Saccharomyces cerevisiae S288C: one gene and its partners. The gene in region 4 interacts genetically with the main gene of each other region. Each region holds a gene or a part of one and is shown on either strand. Other genes may lie near its edges.

Region 1 (8,341 bases), on a different chromosome or scaffold from region 4:
AAAATTTTGACCATTAGGTGCCTTAATTCTATGAGAGCAGAAACTTTGATTAATCACTTGCCAAACAATTTCGTCGGACATATCCTCGTTGTATTCTAACCGTTGTAGTTATGTACTGAAGAGAACACTGTCAAAAGAAAGAACTAAGCAATGCAATATCTGCCTCTATACCAATCACTTTTTCATTTTTTTTCAAAAGCTCATCGGAAAATTTTTCAAAAAAAAAAAAAAAAAAAAAAAAGGTTTATTACCCTACTGCATTTTGATAATCTGAACATAATGAGCTAATGAAAGCAATTCTCATTTAAAAACAAGTATTCTCTCTTATTGAAGTATGCATTATCTATCATTATAAATTCTTTTATTCTGTTCGAGTCCATGTTTTTAAAAAAAAAAAAACATGTATGTATGCTCCATCTATATATGCTCCATCTGTATATTTTATATGCAAAGTTTTTTACAAGAGGAATTTGGGAACTGGAGGAAAGTGGCACAATACCTCATGTGGATAGTTCATTAATCTCTTCTTGTGTTAATGTGCTAATATAAACACACTTACTCAGCAATTCGTGGTTAACTTTGAAAGTGTAAAACTTGGACCATTGAACCCTTTGAATGAAATTCTTGACTATTTGAACGTTCGTATCGAATTTATTGTAATTCACTACTTTATCTTCTAAGATCCAGTCTTTCTTCTCTGCGTTTGCTGATAGGTCCGAAAGATATACGACGATGAAAGGGACGCAACCCACCAGTGGATTCACAGAGTTAAGTAGATTTCTTATTGTAGAATAATTCCTGTCTAGCGAGGGAATCTTCTTTAGCTCTTCCCAAGTCAGTAAGTCGCCTGGTTCAATCAGACGCCATGCATCAGTGAATTTTTGAACAACTGAAGAACTTAAGGCTAGAATGATTTCCATCAATGTGTTAAAGTTCTGAAATGTCCTGCAGTGGTCTGCAACGTGTATAAACCTTTGAATGACATTTCTTTTCATTTTGCTGCTCTTGGTAAGAAGTATTTCTGATATAATCCAATCCACAGTTAAGTTAAATCTGGATATAGCTAAATCAATGCCAGATAAGGTCTCGTTCCTTACTAGTAGTTGCAACCAACTTATAACTTGTGGGCCTTCATGCTTCATCTTTAAATCTAATAAATCTTTCCAGTCTATTTCTCCTAAAATTTCCTTCTCTATCAAGGTCATTTGTTGCGCTACAGACAGGGAATCGTACATTAGTATAAATGGAACGTGACTTTCATTATTAGAAATCATTAATCTCGAATCGTGAATCCTGTATTGACCGATTAATTCCTGGATTTGCGCCGCTTGCACAGCAACATCAACATTAGCTGACACGTCTATTTTTTCAGGAGAGGAGGAAGTAAAGCCTTCCTTCTCGGATTGATCTGGAGTAAAGGGGATATTCATTATAGTTTGTCTCCTTCTTTCTATTAATAACGATTTTCTTTTTTCTGCGGGGCTATTTTGGAATGACGGCAAGTTGTTAAGGTTTAGCATTTCCACTTCATCTGCTAACTTGCTCGTTTTAATTCCAATAGCGTCACTACTCTTGGTGTTCTCTGGTTTTTCGGGAATTTTCTCGTATGTACCTTCCAGTTTCATTAATGCCACGGTTATTGGATCGTCATTAATTGAATCATCGAGCATATTAGCAATTTCATTTAAATTTTTCTTATTCAAGGAGCCTGTAAAAGCCGACTCAGAGTTTGCTCTCCGTGTGTTCCGGGCACTAGATGTGTCATTAATGTCGATATCGTCCATTGTCAATACACTTCCTGATATGTTACTATTAGTTTCACTCTCGTTCTTCAGAAATTTACTTTTCAGCTCTTCAACGTTTTTCATTGGAGAAGCAACGTCAATGCTACCGTCATCTGGTGAAAAAAAATACTTGTTGTTTTTCGCATGGGTACTTGGACTTTCTAGGTCATTATTGGAATCGCTTAAATCAATTGTTTTTAACTCATGCAATGAAGAAGTATTTGAGATTATATCTTGATTACCCCTTTGATATTCTTCTCTCAAATTTATTATCCTTTGGTGTGGCACTGGTAAATCTCTGGACGTTTCGAAAGTTTCAACTGTGCTACCAGTGGTAATCGAATTCAAATCACTTACAACAGATTCTATTGTGGGTGCTATGGATAATCTGATTCTATTGGTTTCACTCACGCTGGTCCCGTTGGGAAATTCTCTCTGTGGATTTTGAGTTTGTTTTAGAGGACTATTCTGAGCAGATTCAAAAAGCTTGCTCGTTGAGATACTGATAACGGTGGACGATGTATCAGAGTACAACGCGCTTTTTTTATTATATTCCAGGTTGAGAGGTTCTATTTCACTTATTTCCTCTATAACTGAGTTTGACTTGTTTTGCTCAGGATCTACTATGGATAACTCTTTGGTTGGTGTTATGGCAATGCTTTGAACTCTTGAAATGCTGATCCTTCCACTAGCCGGTCTTACAACTGCTTGTTTGATCTTGTGATTGCAAGATGAATGTTTTTTTCTTGTAGTTATATCATAATTATTGGCTTCTGATGATGCATCGAGTGAGTTGTCCAGCTTTTTTGTGCTCTCATATTCTGATTCCTGATTTTCTTTGTTATCATAATTCTTTTCAAGGCCATCTATAGTACTCTTTTTCTCATCTAAAGACTTGGTATCTTCAAATGTAAACTCTCTTAGATTTAAAAATCCAGTTTTTGTTTTTAGAGTTGGACTATCTGTATTATTCACGATGTTTCTGACTTTTCTTGACTTTTTCGTTACAGTATCTCTGGGTGGAGAGCTGGATGACAACTCGGAATCGTATGAGTATGTTATTGATTCTGTGTCTTCCCTACTATCGTTTAAGGGAGACGATTCTTTAAGATCAGGTAGAACATTTTTCAGAGGCGAAGAAGTCATGCTTTTTTGGGATTGGGAATGATTTTTCCTCCTTGGTGTCATATTTGTAATCGCTTCTGAGTTGGTTTTATCAGTTTCATGGAATAACAATCTTTGAGGTCCATTCTCGTCTGTACGTGAAGAACTATTATCTTTATCAAAGAGCCTCATACTTTCTGCTGAGTAGCTACCGTGCATTTTATTGTAATATGCTGTCGTGAGACTTTTTACTTTCCTTCGTTGCAGTGCATCATACGAGGGTGATGGCTGCATATTCGATTCATTGTTCTGCAGTTGCTTGTTTAAAGTATTAGTTAAAGAGATGACTGACTGAGCAATTGAACTTACGGTTTGATACAGATCCAAATTGTCCATAGCGCTAAAATTATCATTACTCGGTTTAAAGCTATTTTGTTGTAAAATCTTTATATCATGTATGTGTTCCCGACGTTCACAATCAACATTAACTGTAGGACCTCGGTTGTTATTCGAATGTGTTTGAACTTTTTCTATCAGCTGGTTTTGTAAATGCAGTAGGGACTCCACTTCATCTATGGTTCTTGCACTTAGGATGTCAAATTTAGAAGAATCAGAGTTAAGAAACTCTTCCTCTTCTTCCTTGGAAGATTTTCTATTGAGAGATGATATTGATACAACGTATTTGACAAACGCATCCATTTCAGGTTTCTGGTTTGCTGGTTTAATAGCACTCATAAATTTTTTATCATTACTGCTATCATGGCGATTATGGTTTTTCATCCACTTAGCTAAAAGACCAATAGCGCTGCGATGTAACACAGACATTGAAGATGTATTAGATCTACTATTACTGTTGCTATTGTTATCTAGAGATGATGTCGTCGATGTACCTTGAAGCGTTCCGCTTTGTTCATTTAAATCTTCAGGAATATATAAGGAATTCAGAATAAATTCAACTTTTTTAGCCGGTGTTGGAGGCATTATTTTATCGACTGCATATGATGACGGGTAGTCTACGCCTTTCATTAGTGTGGATACTAGAGTGACTTTTGACAAGTGGCTGATCTTTTGTTTACTATCTGACATGTCCTCGCTTTCATTATCAACTGAAGGTTCTTTCGCTATTCGGTGCTTCGAGTAAACATTTGATGTATTATCGGGAAATAAAAGCATAGAAGGGCTTCTCTGGTTTTTGGAAGAATTTGAAGACTGTAGCTTCTCCGGCAGTCTAAATACATCAGAAGTTTTATATAATGATAAAACGCTTTGGTTACGAAAATCAGGACTGGCAAAACTTTGCCTGGCGTAAATGCTCAGTCGGCTTCCTCTTTTGTGTAGGCTTTCTAGTTGCGTGAAATCCTTTAACGAATAATGCAGCCATGCATCAAAGTCTAATTTATCAGGTTCATTTAGTTCAATATTCTCCCAAACCAACTTAGAACAATGCACCCAGTTTTTTTTCAGATTGATTATACAGCTGGAAATTATTTTTGGGTACTGTTCAATGTGTTTGTCGTTTAGAAACTCGATCAACCGAAGTCTTAATGTTATGTTCGGTAAAAAATCTTGCACAAAATAATTCAGTATGGAATGCCTCAACAACACAAACGTCCTCACGAGGGCAACTTCACCAATTCGCCTTCTCTTAGCTTTTGCAGCATTTGTTGTGATCTCCCTAATACACCATCGAAATCTATAGATGAGTAAGTCGTGTAAGTCTTGAGGCGTTATAAAATTCCTATAAATAAGGAAAAAATCTGCAGATGCGTTGTAGTCTACACCTTCCAAAGGGGAAGAAAGGTGTACAATTAACGCGGGCAGGTCTGCACTATTCACTGGTTTGGATACACAATCGCTTTCATAGCTAATAACATTTGAGGATGGAGTCGGGTAGTAATCTTTCTGGCTAAATATTTCCATGGTTCAGGGTAGCGAATCTTTGAATGGCTAGAGGCTATGTAAAGCAAACAAAAAGGTTCGCGTAAATCAACGAGCGAATAACACGAGTACGGTTGGGGTGGGCTAAAGGGTTCAAGAAATTATCAGTTTCTGTTTACAGTTTTTTTTTCATTGTTGATAAAAAGATCAAGAATTTCATTATTCGCGAAAATCAAAATGCAGAAAGGAAAAAATAGAAGGGTAATAAAACAGCATCGGATCGCAAAGATGAGTAAGGAGAACAGCCTGGTTAACAATTAAAGAGTGTTTATCGAAATTCATTATATAGTGGTTTATATAGACCACTTCTTCTGCTGGTTGATATAGAAATTTTATTTAATTCTTGTTTTTTACTTATGTACTTACTACGATGATCTTAATTCATGCTTCTTGCTTGTCGGCAATGTCCCAAGTGGAAAACCAGTTTAAGTAGCGGAAGTTACTACTTGGTCCCTCCATACCAAATGATATTGGGGAGAAGTACCAGAAGCAACCAATTACAAGTGCCATGAATCCGGCGTATAGGACGAACCGCATGATACGGCCGCACTTAGATCTGGACCATTTTTGCAAACCGGCGTCGAAACAGTACGCCAAAATGATCAGTGCAAAATACAAGGCAGGCAAGTAATGATGAACGTAGGTGACTCTAGACATGATAACGAATGGCATGTAGTGTAGGCCCCAAGCTAGTAGTGGGTAGAACCCGCCCATTAAGAAAACGTTCCAGTTAGATGGATTTCTTAGGTCCACATATTGTCTTTGCCATCTGATCAGTAAGATAACGACCGTGGCCATGAATGCGAGGACGGCAACACTAGAAGCCCACGTGGAAGCTGGGGTACCCAATAGGAAGTATTTTGGATTATCATCACCCCAGCCACATAGTCTCAAACCCACATTCAAAGTTGGCCATTGCCATGCTGAGGAAGCTAAGTAATCAAATTTGTCTGGATCTGGCACCAAAGCGTTATTAGTGGCCATCATGGCTAGATTTAAATGAATGAAGTCTTTTAAGAAGTTGGTCTTTGGGTATTGAAAATCTTCGGGTCTTGGTGGCAACCTTTCATTTTCGTGGGTCTCGATGTTCCACCAGGTCCTCTTGTCCCTCTTGAATGGGTTTTTCATGCAGACAACCTCTTGTTGTCTGAAACCCCATTCGGGCAAACTGTTACCGGTTTGAGCCAAGTAACAGCCCATCTCCAAGTTCTTGATACGGAAAGAGGTGGTCAATGTGTGCAACTTCTCAGGGTCTTCATCTCCTCTTTGGTCCATGATCTCAATAACCCAATTGTCTTTGTTGTCACCAACAACATTGTCACCGTAACCAGAAACCTCCCATTGTGTCTTTGACACTGGTGCAGCAACTGGGTGGGTGTGCAAGTTTCTGCCCGTGCTTTTGTGTACCAATCTATAGGAGGTACCTGGCTTCAAATACTCGATGTCAGTTTCGTTTTCTGACCATGATGGTAAGCCTCTTTCTCTGTTGAAAAACCATTCGTTGTTAGCATCTTTGTAACCATAACAGGTTACTTGTTGTTGGTTGGACCCATCTGGATAAGTTTGTATATGTGAGTGCAATAGAGATCCTCCAAGAGCTTGGTTTTTGATGGAAACAACGGAGGAACCTAGAGCAATGTCACGGGGGCCTTGTCCGACGTCAGAACCCACTAATCTTGCTTGGAAAAGAGATGGCATGTTAGCATCACCTGTACCAGAATGCGATAATAGGTCAAAATGTATTTTGAAGCACAATAGGAAAATGCAGAAGGGGACGATAATAAGACCAAATATTCTTGCCAACCAGTGGTTAATATAGGTTTTCCATGACATGGATTTATCTGCCAAAAAGGTCCATAAGTCAATCACAGTATAGATACCGACCATAGTGATGATAAATAGACCCACCATTTTGACGGAAATAGTGCAACCCAAAGAAATACCAGTGATCAACAGCCATTTCCACCACTTTCTAGAGAACGGCTTGGACCTCTGGTTGTGGAACATAACAAAACTAAAGAACGATGCGACAGTGAAGAAAAGTAGCATGGAGTCCAAAAGAATGAACCTGCCCAAAGTACTATACGAGTTTTCAAACAAAACCAACACGGTCATCAGCCAAACTGTTGGTAAAGAAAATCCAATAGCTTTGGCAGTGAAGTAGGCCAATGGCACACAGAGCGCGGAAAATGACGCGTTGAACAGTCTCATTTTAACATAATCCAAATAGTCTGGGTAAATTTCCCCAGAAGGGAAGTCCCAAGAACCGTTGTAGCCTGCCAAATAACCAGACAACCCGACCAGCATTTTTCCTAGGGGAGGATGGACATCGTGGTAAAATTCGTGTCTCAAGTAATAAGAACCAAATTTACCAAAGTGCGCCTCATCCCAAACAACATGGTTGTTGATGCCGATTTTGTACATCCTGGTAAACAACGCCAATGCAGTAAAGATCACCGGCATTACAACGGATTCCAGGCGTAACAGTGAGCTTTGTGCAGCGGGCTTTTCCTTCGAGAAATCTTCCGCGTCTCTCTCATCAGCGCTCGAAAGTTCCTCACTGACGCTGATGGAAGACGATTCTCTTTGTCTCAGTGTATTCTCTTGCTTAATGTGGGCGGCATTGTTTTTGCTGTACCCGGTAGACGAAGACGAGGACATGATTGCTGGACCACGGTTCGAAACAGAATGACAGTAGCGATGTGGACTAAGCCGGTTCTCCTTGGTAATGTTGTTAGTCTCGAGAAATGACCTTTTTTTTACCCTCAAAAAGAATGCAACACTATTAATAAACAGTACACGAAACGGATCTTTCCGTAAGTTCTTTCGTTCTTTTTTTTCGTATTCTTTTCTTATGTTTTTTTTTTTCAGGGCGACGTGTCCAATAATATGTATGTTTGTCGCTATGTACGAGATATTATTGCTAAGTGACAGTAAATCGTATCACGACTGTAAATGATGGCGTTTCGGTATGTACAGTATCTATCTACCTGATAATAAAGTCAATTATGAAGACGAATACGTAGCTTATGATGCTGCCCAGAGCTAGTCCTGTAGAAACGAAAATATTAGTGAATCCACCGGCCGCTTCCTTCTCGTCGTCGTTGTCCAGTTGCTCTGGCACCTTCATGAAACTCATAGAGATGACGTGCCCGTTGGTTACGCCGAAAAGGAACTGCAGTAGCATGTAACACAAGTCAACGATTACGGAGCCATTGTGCTCTTCATCGCCGCTTGAAGAGGAGGTGATGGCTGTGAACATCAAGAACAGTGGTATTGCGGCCACCCGCAACAATGAGTAGATGAAGGTTTTGCGTGGCGTAAATTTCTGGTCACGGAACATGGGCCAGTCGGCAATGACTCTTCCGTAAAGGTCGCCTAGGTTCCACAGCGTGAATATGAGAGGTATGTACTGTGCGTTGCTTAAAGGAAGCCCTGTCACGTAGGTGGCAGACGCAAATACAGGAAAAACAAGAGTTACGACAAACGTGGTGAATATGGAAAGAACCAGGTAC
Region 2 (5,875 bases), on a different chromosome or scaffold from region 4:
CTTTCTCACTAGTTTCAGCAGCAGTAGCACCAGTGTTTTCTTCGTTTTGATTAGCTTTTACCTCAGCGGCTGAATCCGATGGCGCTGTGACTGCAGCAGAACCACTGTCAACAACGACCATACTCGGATCCAATGCATCAACATATTCTGCTGGTGCAGTTTCAAAATCATCTGGACTAGACATATTGAGATAATCTGTACGCAAATAGTGTCTTATGTAGGGCGGTTGCGTATACAACGGTTTGTGTTTACTACCTTTTGGGCTATGGGTTTGTTTTGTTTAAAACGTGTATTGATGGTGTTTAGGTGCTGGATGTTGGGTGTTGAAGAAATGATTGCGGTTGTCTGTTTTCGGTTTTGTTTTCTTTTCTCGCTAAATTTTAAAACTTCAACAACGAAGAAGAGGCGGGTAGCGGCCATTGGGCAAGAATACTTGTAGCTCCAGCGAAAGTTTCATTGAAATTTAAGATTCAGTATTATGAGTTACATAATAATATTCATATCTTTTTCATATAGTACATTATATAAAATCTGTTGCGCTTTTAAGTAGTACTTTTTGTTTTAAGAGCATTGTACTTGAATTAATTCATAGTCATATTGCCCCTTCTTAATATCGTACTTCACTTTCATAGATGAAAGCAGATTGTTCTTTATACATGCTGTGTCCAAACCTTTGGTCTGTCTCCGTAGGTTTAGTCCCATGGATGCATCGTGCCCGTAAAATACTTTGGCGTTACTAAAGTGGTCTCCGTATTTGTCCCACAGTGTGTACCATCTCACATAATTCTTGTTTTCCTTTTCACGTGATGTTTTTGACCAGTTCTTCTTATCAACGTACTTCATGTTTGACAGAGAGCTCACGCCCGGAATTTGGTTGGGCTTCATGAAGTCTCCCGGAACCATCCCTGCATGTGCACCAAAGAGTATATCACCGGTAATATCCAGATCTAGTTCTATGGCCATAGAACAATGTTCCGCTAGCTGACTTAATTTGGAAAACCCAAGTTCGCGAGCTAACCGTCCATGTGCGTTGCTGATTTTAGAGATGTCTTGTGGTATGAAATTAGTCTCCGTACTGAAAGTTAAAGGTGTCATTAATTTGGGGCGTCTTACCCATTTCGAGAAGTCTGGGTTTAAATAGGCCATCATGACCAATATTTCATGATTGCCCAAAACGCACTTGACTTGATCCTTGTGATTTAGAATATACGACACGACCTTGTCTGAGTCCGGGCCCTTGTGAATAAAGTCACCCAGCAATATCATTGTTATATTTTCTCCTAGTCCTCCAATCTTGTCATCAATGAGTTCTATGAACTCATCATAGTTACCATGAACGTCACCAACAAAAACGTACTCCTTATTTAAATCTGTTACATGCTCAATTTTCTTCAAGGTGCTAATTGTAGGCAATAAGGAAACTGGTGGAGACAACCGAGGGTTATCAAACTTGAATATATATAGTGTATAAACGCAGCATGCCACAAATAATATCAATGCTGTACTAAGTGTAGCGGCTCGTCTTTTCCGCTTATCTTCCATTTTTGCGTATCTATGCTCCTCAAGCCTGGCTCATTTTACAAGCTGGAAGGTCGAGGAAAAGGAAGAACTAATTCAAGAATAATGTGCTCTTCTTATAGGATGCGTATATGTTCTAATATATCTCAGATGGGCCCGCGAGACTTTTCTAGCATGAAAAAAAAAGGTGGATCCTTGATTATCTAAAATTATAGTTTATATCGTTCATGCTGCACAAAAACGTGCCAGCAATGCAATGCGCCTCAAGCGTAAAAAAACAAGCGGCATTGGCCAACAGAGAAAAAAATATGAATTGTAGACGCGGCATTGAGAGAAGTATGGAAGACCCTTGACTAACCCTGATATGACTGTCTCAAGTCAGGATCTTCTTTGTCTCCTAAATGTTTGCCGTCCAGGAACTTTAAGTCAGTTTTATTTGGACATTTCTCGAGCACTTCTTTGGGAAAGTAGTCTTGTTGGACTTTTCCTTCAATATAATCGGGATTGTACTTGTAGCCTTTATGATAACCCAGCTCCTCCATCAATTTGGTTGGCGCATTTCTGATATGCATCGGTATCTCACTGCTTGCTAAACTGTACATGTTCTCGCTCATCATTGCCCTTAATTTCTTCCAAGCTCTATATAGTTCTACTGACTTTGGTGCCCTAGCCAAAGCAACACAACATTGCGCCAGTGCAAGGTCTGCCTCTGGCAAACCAACTTTCATTACTGCGTCATGTGCCGCGACAGCCAAGGGCAATAATGAACTATCCCGTAATCCGATATCTTCAGAAGCTATTCGAATCATTCTTCGGGCAACATACAATGGGTCCTCTCCTCCCTGCAACATTCTTGCTAAATAGTACAGTGAGGCGTTTTCGTCCCCACCTCTAATGGATTTATGAAACGCAGAGATTGTATCATAATGGTTATCTCCCTTTGGGTCATAGTATGTATTCAACCCGTTGCTGCTGTTGTTCTTAATTATGTCTCGTACATCATCGATAGATAATTCTTCCTCGTCGGCCTTGCGCTCTCTTGTTGAAACTTCGATCATTTCCAACATATTTAACGCCCTCCTTGTATCACCCACCGACAGATCTACCACGTACTCCAGTATGCTTCTAGACAATTTCAAAGGATTTTCAATATTCCATACTTGTTTCCTGCATTTATTCAATAATGCAATTCCTCTTGATAAAACAATACACAGTTCGTTGACATTCAGCTTTTCTAGGACAAAAATCAGACATCTGCTAATGAGAGCATTGTTCAGCTGAAAACTTGGATTTTCTGTCGTTGCACCAATCAAAATAATGTCACCGTTTTCTACGTGTGGCAATAACAAATCCTGTTGAACTTTATTGAATCTGTGAATTTCATCAATAAAAAGTACAGTTCTTCTTTTGGTCAATTGATATTCCTTTTTTGATTTTTCAAATATACCTCTCAATTCTTGCGTATTTGCCTTTGTCGCACTTGTTTCGATCATGAAGTACCTGGAACCAACATTTGATTCATTACTACTGGTTGTCGCAGTTTTCGTTAATAGTCTAGCTAGTGAAGTCTTTCCTACACCTGGAGGGCCCCAGAGTATCATAGATGGTATAGTCCCTTGTTTTATGTATTTGAACAATGTACCATTATCTTGAGAGAGAATGTGCTGCTGACCTACATAATCTCTTAATTCTTTTGGCCTCAATTTTTCACTAAGTGGCAAATGGCTTATTTTCTGCAACCATCTGCTTTCGTAATCGTTGTGAAGTTGATCTCTGCTCGAAGCAGGCTCCACTATTGATTTCGCAAAATCCGTGGATGGTGCTGCCTTAAATCTTTTGCTTTCATTTTCAACAATCTCAATATCATCACTCTCGCTCTTAAGACCTGGCTTAATTTCATGGTCCTTATTTTCAAGATCAATGAATTTCTCTGAGTTAGCTTGTTTCCTCTTTTTTGGGCCTGCCAAAAGACTTGACACCGTTTGTGGCCTACTCGAAGGCTTTGACTTTTCCTTGCCACATATGTCAAGATGAGAGTTGATTAAGGAAAAAAAGACTTTTCTAGAGCAAATTGGGCATGATATGAGCTGTTCTACAGATGTCCTCTTGTTACTCATTGAGACTGTGCGATCCTGTTTCAGATCTTACCGCTAGCGTTCTTCTGCTAATAAGCTATTTTTTACCTGTCGATGACCTACCTTAAAACACGTTTCGTTTAAGACAACGCGTACAGTTTCACAAGGAAAGCAACCGATGATTGAATGTCAATTAAAAAACAAAAAACAGATGTTAATTTTAACTGGGCTCTCAATATCAAACCGTTATAGTATATGATGTATCTAAACGACCACTTATCACTTGGATATGTTGTCAAATCCGTTTTGCTCTTGCGCATGTTATACCTACTTTTTACTATCTACGGCGGGCATCCTGACCCGGCTTATTTACTTGAAAATGCAACAATAAGTCCGTTACGCAATATTGAATTTTGATGAGAACCGTTCTGCGATATTCAGAACTGTCAATACAAGCTTGAAAAAGGGACAACTGGATATACAGGGGTGTTTTTGACACAATAGAGAATACTTTTTCGTTTTTATTGTACCATTACGGCTACTCAACGAGATTTCAAAACTTTAGCTGTATCGAATTGGCTCTTTTTTCACCCTGAAGCACAATTATAAGGGAACGATGAATTGCAAGGCGGTAACCATTAGTTTATTACTGTTGTTATTTTTAACAAGAGTATATATTCAGCCGACATTCTCGTTAATTTCAGATTGCGATGAAACTTTTAATTATTGGGAACCATTAAATTTATTGGTACGTGGATTTGGTAAACAAACCTGGGAATATTCACCCGAGTATTCTATTAGATCATGGGCTTTCTTATTACCTTTTTACTGTATTCTTTATCCAGTAAACAAATTTACTGACCTAGAAAGTCATTGGAACTTTTTCATCACAAGAGCATGCTTAGGCTTTTTTAGTTTTATCATGGAATTTAAACTACATCGTGAAATTGCAGGCAGCTTGGCATTGCAAATCGCAAATATTTGGATTATTTTCCAATTGTTTAATCCGGGCTGGTTCCATGCATCTGTGGAATTATTGCCTTCTGCCGTTGCCATGTTGTTGTATGTAGGTGCCACCAGACACTCTCTACGCTATCTGTCCACTGGGTCTACTTCTAACTTTACGAAAAGTTTAGCGTACAATTTCCTGGCTAGTATACTAGGCTGGCCATTTGTTTTAATTTTAAGCTTGCCATTATGTTTACATTACCTTTTCAACCATAGAATTATTTCTACCATCAGAACCGCATTCGACTGCTGTTTGATATTTTCATTGACTGCATTTGCTGTGATTGTCACTGACAGTATATTTTACGGGAAGCTTGCTCCTGTATCATGGAACATCTTATTTTACAATGTCATTAATGCAAGTGAGGAATCTGGCCCAAATATTTTCGGGGTTGAGCCATGGTACTACTATCCACTAAATTTGTTACTGAATTTCCCACTGCCTGTGCTAGTTTTAGCTATTTTGGGAATTTTCCATTTGAGATTATGGCCATTATGGGCATCATTATTCACATGGATTGCCGTTTTCACTCAACAACCTCACAAAGAGGAAAGATTTCTCTATCCAATTTACGGGTTAATAACTTTGAGTGCAAGTATCGCCTTTTACAAAGTGTTGAATCTATTCAATAGAAAGCCGATTCTTAAAAAAGGTATAAAGTTGTCAGTTTTATTAATTGTTGCAGGCCAGGCAATGTCACGGATAGTGGCTTTGGTGAACAATTACACAGCTCCTATAGCCGTCTACGAGCAATTTTCTTCACTAAATCAAGGTGGTGTGAAGGCACCGGTAGTGAATGTATGTACGGGACGTGAATGGTATCACTTCCCAAGTTCTTTCCTGCTGCCAGATAATCATAGGCTAAAATTTGTTAAATCTGGATTTGATGGTCTTCTTCCAGGTGATTTTCCAGAGAGTGGTTCTATTTTCAAAAAGATTAGAACTTTACCTAAGGGAATGAATAACAAGAATATATATGATACCGGTAAAGAGTGGCCGATCACTAGATGTGATTATTTTATTGACATCGTCGCCCCAATAAATTTAACAAAAGACGTTTTCAACCCTCTACATCTGATGGATAACTGGAATAAGCTGGCATGTGCTGCATTCATCGACGGTGAAAATTCTAAGATTTTGGGTAGAGCATTTTACGTACCGGAGCCAATCAACCGAATCATGCAAATAGTTTTACCAAAACAATGGAATCAAGTGTACGGTGTTCGTTACATTGATTACTGTTTGTTTGAAAAACCAACTGAGACTACTAATT
Region 3 (4,555 bases), on a different chromosome or scaffold from region 4:
TAACAACGTCGAATCCAAGTTGAGAGATGACTTGGAAAGATTAAAGAAGATCAGAGCCCACCGTGGTATTAGACACTTCTGGGGTTTACGTGTTAGAGGTCAACACACCAAGACCACTGGTAGAAGAAGAGCTTAAATCAATTAAGGAAATTATCAGTAATAATTGTACGCTATTTTCGTTTTTATTATCTTTATTTTCTTTTTTTATTCTTCAAAGGAGAAAGTACTACACGTGTTTTCAGACCAATGTGTGTTTAATCAACTTTTTATTCTATGTATAACATATAAGCAAAAAAAGATATAATATAATTAAGTTTTATACGGTAAACATCGTTAACATCACTCAACCGGGGTGAGAAAGTACCATCGATGGAACTGCACTTTATTTTGACTACATGTAAAGTTAAAAGAGGTGTTATAGAAGTCTTTTAAAAAACGTAAGGTAATTAGAAAACAATTGTATATTTTATGATATATGCTAGGACTGAAGTGAACAATGATATGTATGAATGCCGTATAGGGAAATGAATTTGCGAATAAATAATGACTAGAGATTAGATCAACCACGGAAAGCGTTCGGATCAAGATCCTTCAACGGTTGTTGATCGACGATCTTGAATCCGAATTTTCTCTTCCTTTTAGGGGAGCCGGAGGGATTGCTTACCGGACGCTTGGCTTTGGATGGAGAATGATCTATGCTATTGATCAATTTATTTACTCTGCTGTTGGGAGACGTTTTCACGGGAGTCAACGTCTTCTTTTGTGGGTTTAGATGGAATGTTAAAGCCTGGCTTCTCTTTATGCTTGGTGTGGATGAGCGCCTATTTAGGGAATGATGAGGCCTTGGCGGCGTATTTTCCAGCGGTGAAGAAGAGGAAGAACGAGAACATGAGCTTCCATCACGAAGTATGTCCGCCTTGACTCTGGATGCTAGTGGCGTAGCATGAACGTCCAGAGGCGGAGATGGTGGAGATACCGTTTGTATTATAGTGGTTGACTTCGAAGTGGCGATTCTCTGCCTTTTAACCGCTTGTCTTTTATTCTGGAACCATATTTGAACGGCTTTTTCAGTCATATGGCAAGATTCAGCTAACTCAATTCGTTTCTCCTTCGATGGAGCAGGACATTTTTCAAATTCAGCCTGAAGAATAGATAGTTCCTGGGACGAGGTTCTTCTTCTCTTTCGGCGTGCTAGTGGAGCGTTGTCGATCTTAGGCTCCTTCTTAGGGAAGGTCTCCTGCGAGTGTGTGATGAAAGCAAATGCACGTCTTTTTTCCTTAGAGGCAGAGGGGATAATAATCGACTTCGCTGCAGAGAGTGGTGTTAATATGTCGTTTTTCTTTGAAGAAACCGAATAATCTCTCTTTTTGCTATTTAGGGGAGTCAGTAGAAGGTTTTCGTGTGATTCATCAACTGTTTCTTGAGAACTATTCAACTGAGATGAGAGGGCTGAGTCTGATTGCGTGTGCTTGAGCATGTCATCACCATAAGCGCTGCTATTTTCATGCAAGGATGTAACAGTGTGTCTCAAGGCGCTTTCCACAGATCTTGGACGATTGATACTGGTGTTTAGCGGTGGTAATTTTATGGTTCCGCGATCATCGAGGTGAAAACTCGTTCTTGGATTAGTGAAGCTTGGTGATACGGGGCTGGACGAGATTTCGGTTCCCGATAGAAGACTAGATAGAGAAGGTAGCATTTTTGTTTCTTGTGACATCAAGAATTGATCAAATCACAAAGATTGAAGGGGAAAGGTAGTGGTCTGGAACTGTTACCTCGTTGTTCTGTGGTCACCACTGTGTTTTCACCCAAATCATACTGAAATCACAACATAGAGTCTTGTTAAAATGCCAAGGCATATATATATATAATAATTACAAGAGTTCGTGTCCACTAAAAACCGTATAGAGCAATAAGTAGCCCGAAACAGCATACAGATTGTTCGCGTTTGAAGTTTCCACGTACTAGGTTGGACATACAGTTGCAGAAGCCTTTAAGCATCTGCAGTAATTGGCGACTATAGCGAGCTGTACCATTTTGACGCCCTTCCCAAAGAGGAAACCGGGCACCAGAAGGAATTCGCGGTGTTCCCCGTTTGGGGCATGGCGTGTCGCCTAGAAGGGAAATCATATGAAAGAAAAGAAGCGTCGCGTCTCAGCGTATGAAGGGCAGCAACAGAGCTAAAGTGAGTGTGGCAGTGAATGGTTTACGCGTTTTAGAGCCAGACGATGATTGTTATTAGAACTGAGCTAGTGTGAATAGCTTCTTAGACGGTAGTGTATCGTTTTGTCAGTGAATAGCATTAAGTTTATGGGTTTTATATATAGATAGATAGGTATAAACGTAAAGAGTGAATTTTAAATAAGTAGTCATTTAGACAACTCTGCAAGCGTCTTATTTGTTGGCAGCTTCGAAGTATTCCTTGGAGTCTTCAACGGTTGGCTTGATGGTAGCAGCACCTGGAGTCCAGTTACATGGCAAGACAGTACCGTTCTTGTCGGTCCATTGGAAGGCTTCAACCAATCTCAAGGCTTCGTCAACGTTTCTACCGACTGGCAAATCGTTAATGGTGATGTGTCTAATGACACCCTTTGGGTCGATGATGAACAAACCTCTCAAGGCGACACCTTCTTCTTCGATCAAGACACCATAGTCTCTGGACAAAGAGTGGTTGGTGTCAGCCAACAATGGAATGTTGATTGGGCCCAAACCACCTTCCTTTCTTGGGATATTGGTCCATGCCAAAAGGGAGTATTCGGAGTCAGTGGAGGCGAAAAGAACTTGAGCGCCTTGTTCTTCGAATTTCTTAGCAGCTTCTGAGAAAGCAATGATTTCGGTTGGACAGACGAAAGTGAAGGCCAATGGAATAAAGGCTAGGACAACGTACTTACCCTTGTATTTGTCCAAGGAGACTTCGTCAAAGACACCGTCGACGACGGCAGTTTTCTTAAAAGTTGGAGCTTGCTTTTGAACTTGAGCGACCATTGTGTATGTATGTGTATGTAGTTGTGGTTGGTTGTGAGCAATTGAACGAGGGGAAGGCCCGTTGAGAACGGTTCGGCATTGATCTGACGAATTACCTCCCTTTATATATGTCCTGGTTTGTTGCCAGCCGACTTTGCCAACCCGAGCCAAACCGAAAAATCCCTAAAGGACAATTTGTCAGAAAACCCGACGGGCCAGAACAGCATGGGTTTTCGTACACCTTAAACGCATTATATAACGTGGCCACATCGCATTGCAATTAGTCTTCATCAGGAATGTAGAGATGAGGTTGCGCACCTGTGGCGGTGGGTTCTTCCTCGTCAGGGATTATGAGGGCCTCATCTTCGTTTTCCTGCTGTTGGGCAGATGGAGCCGGTTGCTCACGGTCCCTTGCTCTCTGTGCAACAATATCATCCAGCTTCTCCTTCACATAGGGGAGTAGTGTAACCCAAAAGAGCACGAAGTTCTTTATCACAGCGGTTATCACCCTATCGTTTACCGGGTCTGGAATTATGTATCTGAGTACGACATCAAGGACGTTATGCTCCGCTATTTGCGAGCACAAGGTTTGGAACCATCTTCTGTACTTGGGTAGCGTATTGATGTCTTTCTTTTGGGACTCCTTCCAAATCATCAGCAGCAATTCGTTCAAAGAGTCTTGAGGATATAGTGTGTTCATGTTTCTTGTCGTTTCATACAATTCGAAAAACTCTTTGAACAACTCATCTAGCGCGTCCTTAGGAATCTCACCCGATAGCACCTTGATAAATAGCAAATTCAATTGTCCAACGTCAGGGGTGTTGGTGTCGTACTCAATATCATACTTAGAATAGACCGATAGCCTTTGCTCATGTAGATTAGGTATCATCAGTAAATCAATAGCGGATTGAGTGTCCTTACATTTCTTGTAGAAATTTAAGGTCAATGAATTGGAATTGATGAACTCCTTGATCTGGCTAAACTTGACTTCGTCAATTTCATTCAAGTGGAGATAGTCTCGCCATAAATTCCACACCTCTTGGGTATTCCAAACAGTCCTAAAAATGAAAAGCAAGCTTAGTAAAATGATATATTTCCAGGGAAGGAAGCTTCCAAACTCCAAAATAATAAAAAAGGGAACCAATGAATTATAGCCAATTAAGTAAAATGTTCTTATCAATACCAATAGCAGCGGGAAGCTGTTTCTCAAGGGACGCACTACCCTTCTATTCCACGCTGACTCGTCATTCTCAACTGTATTATTATCATTTGCCGAAGAGGTATTATCTGCAGCTCGAACATGCTCACCAGACGGATGCAAGAGTGTCGAATCCCGTGGTCTCTCGATTTTGAAGTTCAAAGCAGATTCTAACTGCTCTATCGCAGATGGTGATAGCAAAATATTATCGCCATTAATTCTGTAGTCATTACTAGATATGGGGATTTTAATTTCACCGTAATCGCCTTTGATCACGGACAAATAGCTCGATTGTGGATTTAGTTCGCTAACAGGAATGAATACTACTTCATCCCCGTTGATAATGCATTTCCTATAAAGCTCATCTGTGGGCACGATGTCATTTCCAGATTC
Region 4 (5,360 bases):
TAATCACTGAAGTCATTACAAAAATTGAGTATAGGAATATACCTGCATCAGATTCCAATGCAGAAGCCGAGCAGTATGTTACAACATCTTCTTCAATGTTGTTGACGCCCACAGACACTATGGTTTCTTCGCCCGTCTCCGAAATTGATCCCATAGCATCAGAATTAGAGCGTATGGTTGAAACACCTACGCATTCTATTTCTATAGCATCCGAATTTGACTCAGTTGCGTCTAATTTGATCCCAAATGAAGAAATTTTGTCAACATCAGCATCCCAGGACTCTATTTCCTCGCATCCGAGTACATTTTCTGATTCATCTATAACCTCTGGCTTCCAGTCAATAGAAGTATCGACTGTAACTTCTTCTGTTCTTGCTTCTGAATCAATCCCTTCAATCTCAGATTCCACTTTTTCTAAATTTCATTCCATCTCTGAACCTGTTTCATCAGCTATTGTGGAGACGGCAACTAGCTCATTCTCAAAAACAGAAACGAAGACTTCGAGAGTAATTGCTTTCTCTACCGAGGATTCAGAACGCTCCAGTGCCTTGATTGATAATTCGGAATACACCAGTGTGTTGGCTGACAATTTGGAACCCACTAGTGTTTTGGCTGACAATTCGGAACCCACTAGTGTTTTGGCTGACAGTTCGGAACCCACTAGTGTTTTCACTGATGCTGTACAATCACCTAAGACGAGTGTTGGTCAATCTTCCCTATCAGAATCCACAAATATTGAAGGGACTTCTATGGCATCTATGATCTTTAGTAGTAGTGGTGCTTCAATTGGCGCTCTGTCTGATATAGGCAAGGGAACTTTATCCGTGGAGAGCGCGTCAAGCACAGTAGCTCAGCCGATGCCAGGTGTAACCACAACAGCACCATCTTTTGTAAGTAGCCCTCACAAAATATCTGCTAGTTCAATTGATGCATCAGGATTTGTACAGAAAGAAATAATGATAGAAGTACAGTCATCAAAAGATTCATCTGAAGCGTTTGGGGTACGCCACAAAATCAGCGAAAATGTAAATACTCCTGTTTCCCGAATGCTTACGACGGAAATGCAGGCATCTGGTACGGTAGATGTTACCGAAGACGTCTCTCTATCTAGTGAAGTTATTTCAGCACTTAACGTGGAGATCACTTCTTTGCCTAATCCAGTGGCCCCTCCGCAAACAATTGCAGCACCTTTGAATAATAATTCGAATACAAACATTGTCAACGATGATAATGCAGTAGCAGGAACCGTAAACTACGCTGGCCTTCATGACGAATTGTGAATAACGAAATAATATATATTAATGTTAAATATGATTACATAGCTTTGTGCACATATCTCTATGTCATCTTTTATGCATTTATATTTTGCCCATTTTTAAATAAATTATTAATTAACAAATGTGCACAAGCTAACAAACAGGCCTGATTACATATACACACCTTAATTGTTACCGGGTGGGTCTTTACTATATTCATTCAAGTCCATTAATTCTCTTGATAAGTCAGCATCAGTTGAATCTTCGTTAGGCAAATTTCTTTCACCAGCAACTCTATCTTCGTTGATAACAGTGTCCTGATCCTTCTCCATTTGCTGATCCTCGGTTCCCTGGTCACTTTGAACTTTTTCAACACCATCTCCATCATTAGAATGTCCCACTGAACCTGAACTGTCCGATGAACCTGTTTTTATTTTCATTTTTGCTTCCCTGATAAGCCTAGCAAAATCCTTCCGAAACATAACCATCCATCCTTTCCTATTAAATTTATCGTTTTTGAAATTTTCAAGTAATTTCCTATATGAAGAAGATTTCCCATTACTCTTCATTATCATTAATTTAGAAATTCCACCCTTGTTGCTACTATTTTGGGGGGTTTTATTGTGTGAAACATCCCAGCTTAACAACTGTCTTTTTAGTTCAGCTTCATCAACAGGTTCTAGAGAATCACAAAAATTAGAATTCCAAAGCATTTCGTAGTGATTGTATCTTTTAATCATGTTTTGCCTAGTACCATTAGTTGACAGTCCCAACGATGACAGTTTTTGTTTTATTTGGGATTGAGTCATAGACGTAAAATTGATCTTCGGCAATCTTTGGTGTTCTGCACTCATCATTGAGTTTAAATACTTATCCACATGTGAGGTCTCACCACATGAGCTTTTGTCGACTTCTGGAGTTCGTACCTTGAATCTGGATGAACTTTTGTTATGTGGATTTGACTCTGTAGGGAAAGTGGTAGAAATTTTTGGTTTTTTGCCTAGTGATTGTAAAGTTAGGCATTCATCCAAATGTGTTTTTTCAAGGGCTTTAAGAGGATAAAATTGTTGACATATGGGGCACTGGGCCATTTGTTCATTTGGCTTTGATTTTTTCTTGATACGTTCACTTCTGAACATTGCAAAATTCCTTTTGGATGGTTTGGAACTCAGTGGTAATATATCAGTCATGGATCTTTTGGCAAGTTTTCTTTCACTTGTTGCAACAATTTGCAAGTCATCATCAGCGGCATTTACACTGTCACTTTCAGACTCTGATATGAGTTCTATCCATGAAGAATTTTCAGGACCTGGTACTTCCTCATTCTCAGGGACAGGGGTAGGCTTCGGTATCCTTAGTGCATCTAGTAAGGAAGATCGTAGGGATGTATAACTTTGAATTATTTCACTGACCAGGAACTCACTTCTCAGCAAGGACTCTCTGAACTCGAAAAGGCAGAGAGGACAATTTGGTTGGTTATTCAAATGTGTTCTAATACAAAGGGAACAAAATGTATGGCCACAAGGTGTTAAGACGGGGACTTTTAGAAAATCTTTACAAATGTGACATCTCAAAAGTGTATCCAATTGGTACAGGCTCGGTATTGAAGTAGTCGTGAAGTCGCTTGCAGTGGTTATTTGGTGGTCCATGAGTAGTAAAAATGGCCTTTTCTTAGTAGCTGTGATGCTCACTTGCGGATGGTTTTTCTTCTAATGTGGCATTGCTCAAGTGGTACTTAGTTTTTCACTTTCTATTGAAAAATGCAAGGCAACGGGGCAAGTAAAAATAAAAGAGATCAAAAAGGTAAGTGAAGTGAATGGAAACTTCAGCTAAATACTGTATTAAAAATCCGTAAGGATCAAAAATAAAGATATGTAAAATATAAAACTTAGAAAAAAAATTTGTATCATTTTTGTTATGATTACAATTTTTTCCTGCCTCTTCTGCAATTGATTATACCATAGAAGAGCGGGAAAAGAAGTTAGTTGACCCGACAATACAATAAGATTAAAAAGAAAATGCTATGTGATATGATAACTCCAGCCCAGTTTAGGACTCATCCAACCGTTTGCGATGAATCCATCAGATTAAGAATAATTAGTTTTCGGTGAGGAAAAGAAAATGAAAAAAAAAAAAAAAAAAAGTCAATTCTTTTCATTACCGCTATCGTTGGAAGGGTGATTATGATAAGGATGATGTTTTTGATTGCTATCCGTAGTATTGTTACCATCAGAAATCTTTTCAGTTGCGCGCTTCCAAACAGAATAAACATCCACGCCAAACAGCCCGCTTGAAGCAAATTTGGAATTCGTTGCGCTTGTGAGGACATCGGGTGCAGAGGACTTTCTTGGTGAAATTTGGGTTTCCAAAGTGCCCCCCGGCGTCGTGATATACCTGATTGGAGTCTCTATAGCTCTAAATAGCGGAGAACAGTACAAATCTTCAAAAAGGTGTGAAGGAGTCTGCCATTTCCTCAAAATCGAGTTACCGTCCTTAGGTGTGCTTATCAACCGCGATGGGGTTTTCTCTAAGCCATCGGAATGCCTCATCTTGGGTGTTTTAAGTAAGTCCGAACCATGAGAGGAAGGTGGAGGTGGAAGTTGAGAATTGGAATATGATTGCTGAGATTGTGGTTTCGACATGAGCGCAAGATTTTTCTGATCGTACAGCTTCAATGGGGAATACGGAAGTGGGTCGAGTAGAGAACCAGCCCCTACATTACTTCGAAGTGGAGATAAATCTTCAAAATTTGAATTGAATGAGGTGAAATATTTTCTGAAATTCTGAGGAGACTTTGCGCTAGTTATAGGGAGTGTATTAAATCTATTTGCCTGGGTGATATTATTGTTTTTCACACCCGCCTGGAAATGATCTTTGGCATTCACCAGCGACGGTAAGCCTAAAGAAGTATGATATTTCTTCATGACATAAGGAGGTTCCAAGGAATCTATATTGTTGACATCGTTTTCTATCATGTTCCGCATCGATTCTAGGTTTTCGTGAGGGTTCAGTACACTGTTGTCTGTTTTCAATTGCGGTATGTGATGTAACTGGGAAACTCTCAGTATAGGGGAGGAGTTCAATTGAATTTCAATGGAAGGGAATTTCCCTGCTTCCTCTCTTTCTTCCTCGTCAGGAAGATCATCATTGCCTTCTCCACTCTCAACTTGTTCTAATTCATCAAGTGTAGAATCTATTTCAAAATACTTCCCAATGTCTTGTAAGGAGTCCTTTACAAATTCATAACCACGATTTTCACCTTTGAAAAATTTTGTTTCGGCACCCGGTCTGACCTCCCAGAAATGACCCTTACCATCGCAGGACTTTTCAGTCTTGATGAACGCATCATTTAAAGACAAGTTATGTCTTATTGAATTTTGCCAACTAGCATCTTTCTGCTTGTAATAAGGGAAGTGAACGTGGATCCAATGATATATCTGGGATAGCGTTAGCTTTCCCTCCTGAGATTGCAAAATGGCCAAGCAAATCAAAGTTGCATACGAATATGGAGGTTTCTTGGCGAGTTCACCATTTATTCTTCTTCTTTCCAAAGATTGAAGAATTTCTTCCAAGGTTAGGTTACCATTGGACCGAGCGCATGTGTCCGATCTTTGGCGCTTGGCCTTAGATGGAGCAATTGGGGACGAGTGATCCGGTGAGAGGGGATGCGACGGCCTCTTATTTACTTCCTTCATTGTTTTTCTCACAGTTGAGCTCGGGGGAGTAATCATTTCCTTTTCGTCTTCTAGTGTTCTCTTGGCTTGGGTTAATAGCACGGTGCTTTTTTCCGTTAAAAAACTATTATGGCCATCAATGATGGATATGTCTTCATTCATCATTGAAAAGTTGGAATTTTTGTTGATTTTTTTTTTTTTTGCTTCGAAATAAGAGGTAGTTTCGGTCAATAAAAGAAGCTCAAATAGTAGATGTAACTATAATAAAAGGGGGGAAAAGAATAGAATACGATTTAAAGCGTTGGAACCTCTGTTAAGATATACTCTATATGATTTTCAATTAATCATGCAACATATATTTAAAGTTTGAGAAGGATCAAAGGGCACCGTAAGGGAGGAGAAGAAGTAATTTTTTGATTTTAAATGAGGA

The links.
Region 1: mutations in RAD18 (region 4) and LTE1 impair growth when combined (synthetic growth defect), as found in Saccharomyces cerevisiae (4 studies listed by BioGRID, with this or other methods).
Region 2: mutations in RAD18 (region 4) and MGS1 are lethal when combined (synthetic lethality), as found in Saccharomyces cerevisiae (5 studies listed by BioGRID, with this or other methods).
Region 3: mutations in RAD18 (region 4) and TSA1 together harm fitness more than expected from each alone (negative genetic interaction), as found in Saccharomyces cerevisiae (5 studies listed by BioGRID, with this or other methods).

Annotation. Positions count from the first base shown.
Region 1 is NC_001133.9:101,065-109,405, forward strand, and holds LTE1 (mitotic regulator LTE1), read right to left. Parts: upstream 4,809-8,341; coding exon 501-4,808; downstream 1-500. Other genes in the region: ribosome biosynthesis protein MAK16, read right to left, coding at 1-81; dolichyl-phosphate-mannose-protein mannosyltransferase PMT2, read right to left, coding at 5,208-7,487; nucleoside transmembrane transporter FUN26, read right to left, coding at 7,813-8,341. UniProt on the Saccharomyces cerevisiae protein: GDP-GTP exchange factor for TEM1, a Ras-like protein, component of the mitotic exit network (MEN).
Region 2 is NC_001146.8:235,998-241,872, reverse strand, and holds MGS1 (ssDNA-dependent ATPase MGS1), read right to left. Parts: upstream 3,636-5,875; coding exon 1,872-3,635; downstream 1-1,871. Other genes in the region: DNA-binding transcription factor RAP1, read right to left, coding at 1-184; PPN2 (putative serine/threonine-protein phosphatase), read right to left, coding at 562-1,542; ALG9 (dolichyl-P-Man:Man(6)GlcNAc(2)-PP-dolichol alpha-1,2-mannosyltransferase), read left to right, coding at 4,210-5,875. UniProt on the Saccharomyces cerevisiae protein: Involved in the maintenance of proper DNA topology and chromosome integrity via annealing of single-stranded DNA breaks. Modulates DNA polymerase delta during replication or replication-associated repair.
Region 3 is NC_001145.3:218,568-223,122, reverse strand, and holds TSA1 (thioredoxin peroxidase TSA1), read right to left. Parts: upstream 2,986-4,555; coding exon 2,395-2,985; downstream 1-2,394. Other genes in the region: 40S ribosomal protein uS13 RPS18B, read left to right, coding at 1-136; YOX1 (Yox1p), read right to left, coding at 560-1,717; USA1 (Usa1p), read right to left, coding at 3,245-4,555. UniProt on the Saccharomyces cerevisiae protein: Thiol-specific peroxidase that catalyzes the reduction of hydrogen peroxide and organic hydroperoxides to water and alcohols, respectively.
Region 4 is NC_001135.5:229,045-234,404, reverse strand, and holds RAD18 (E3 ubiquitin-protein ligase RAD18), read right to left. Parts: upstream 2,906-5,360; coding exon 1,442-2,905; downstream 1-1,441. Other genes in the region: GTPase-activating protein SED4, read left to right, coding at 1-1,280; HCM1 (Hcm1p), read right to left, coding at 3,401-5,095. UniProt on the Saccharomyces cerevisiae protein: E3 RING-finger protein, member of the UBC2/RAD6 epistasis group. Associates to the E2 ubiquitin conjugating enzyme UBC2/RAD6 to form the UBC2-RAD18 ubiquitin ligase complex involved in postreplicative repair (PRR) of damaged DNA.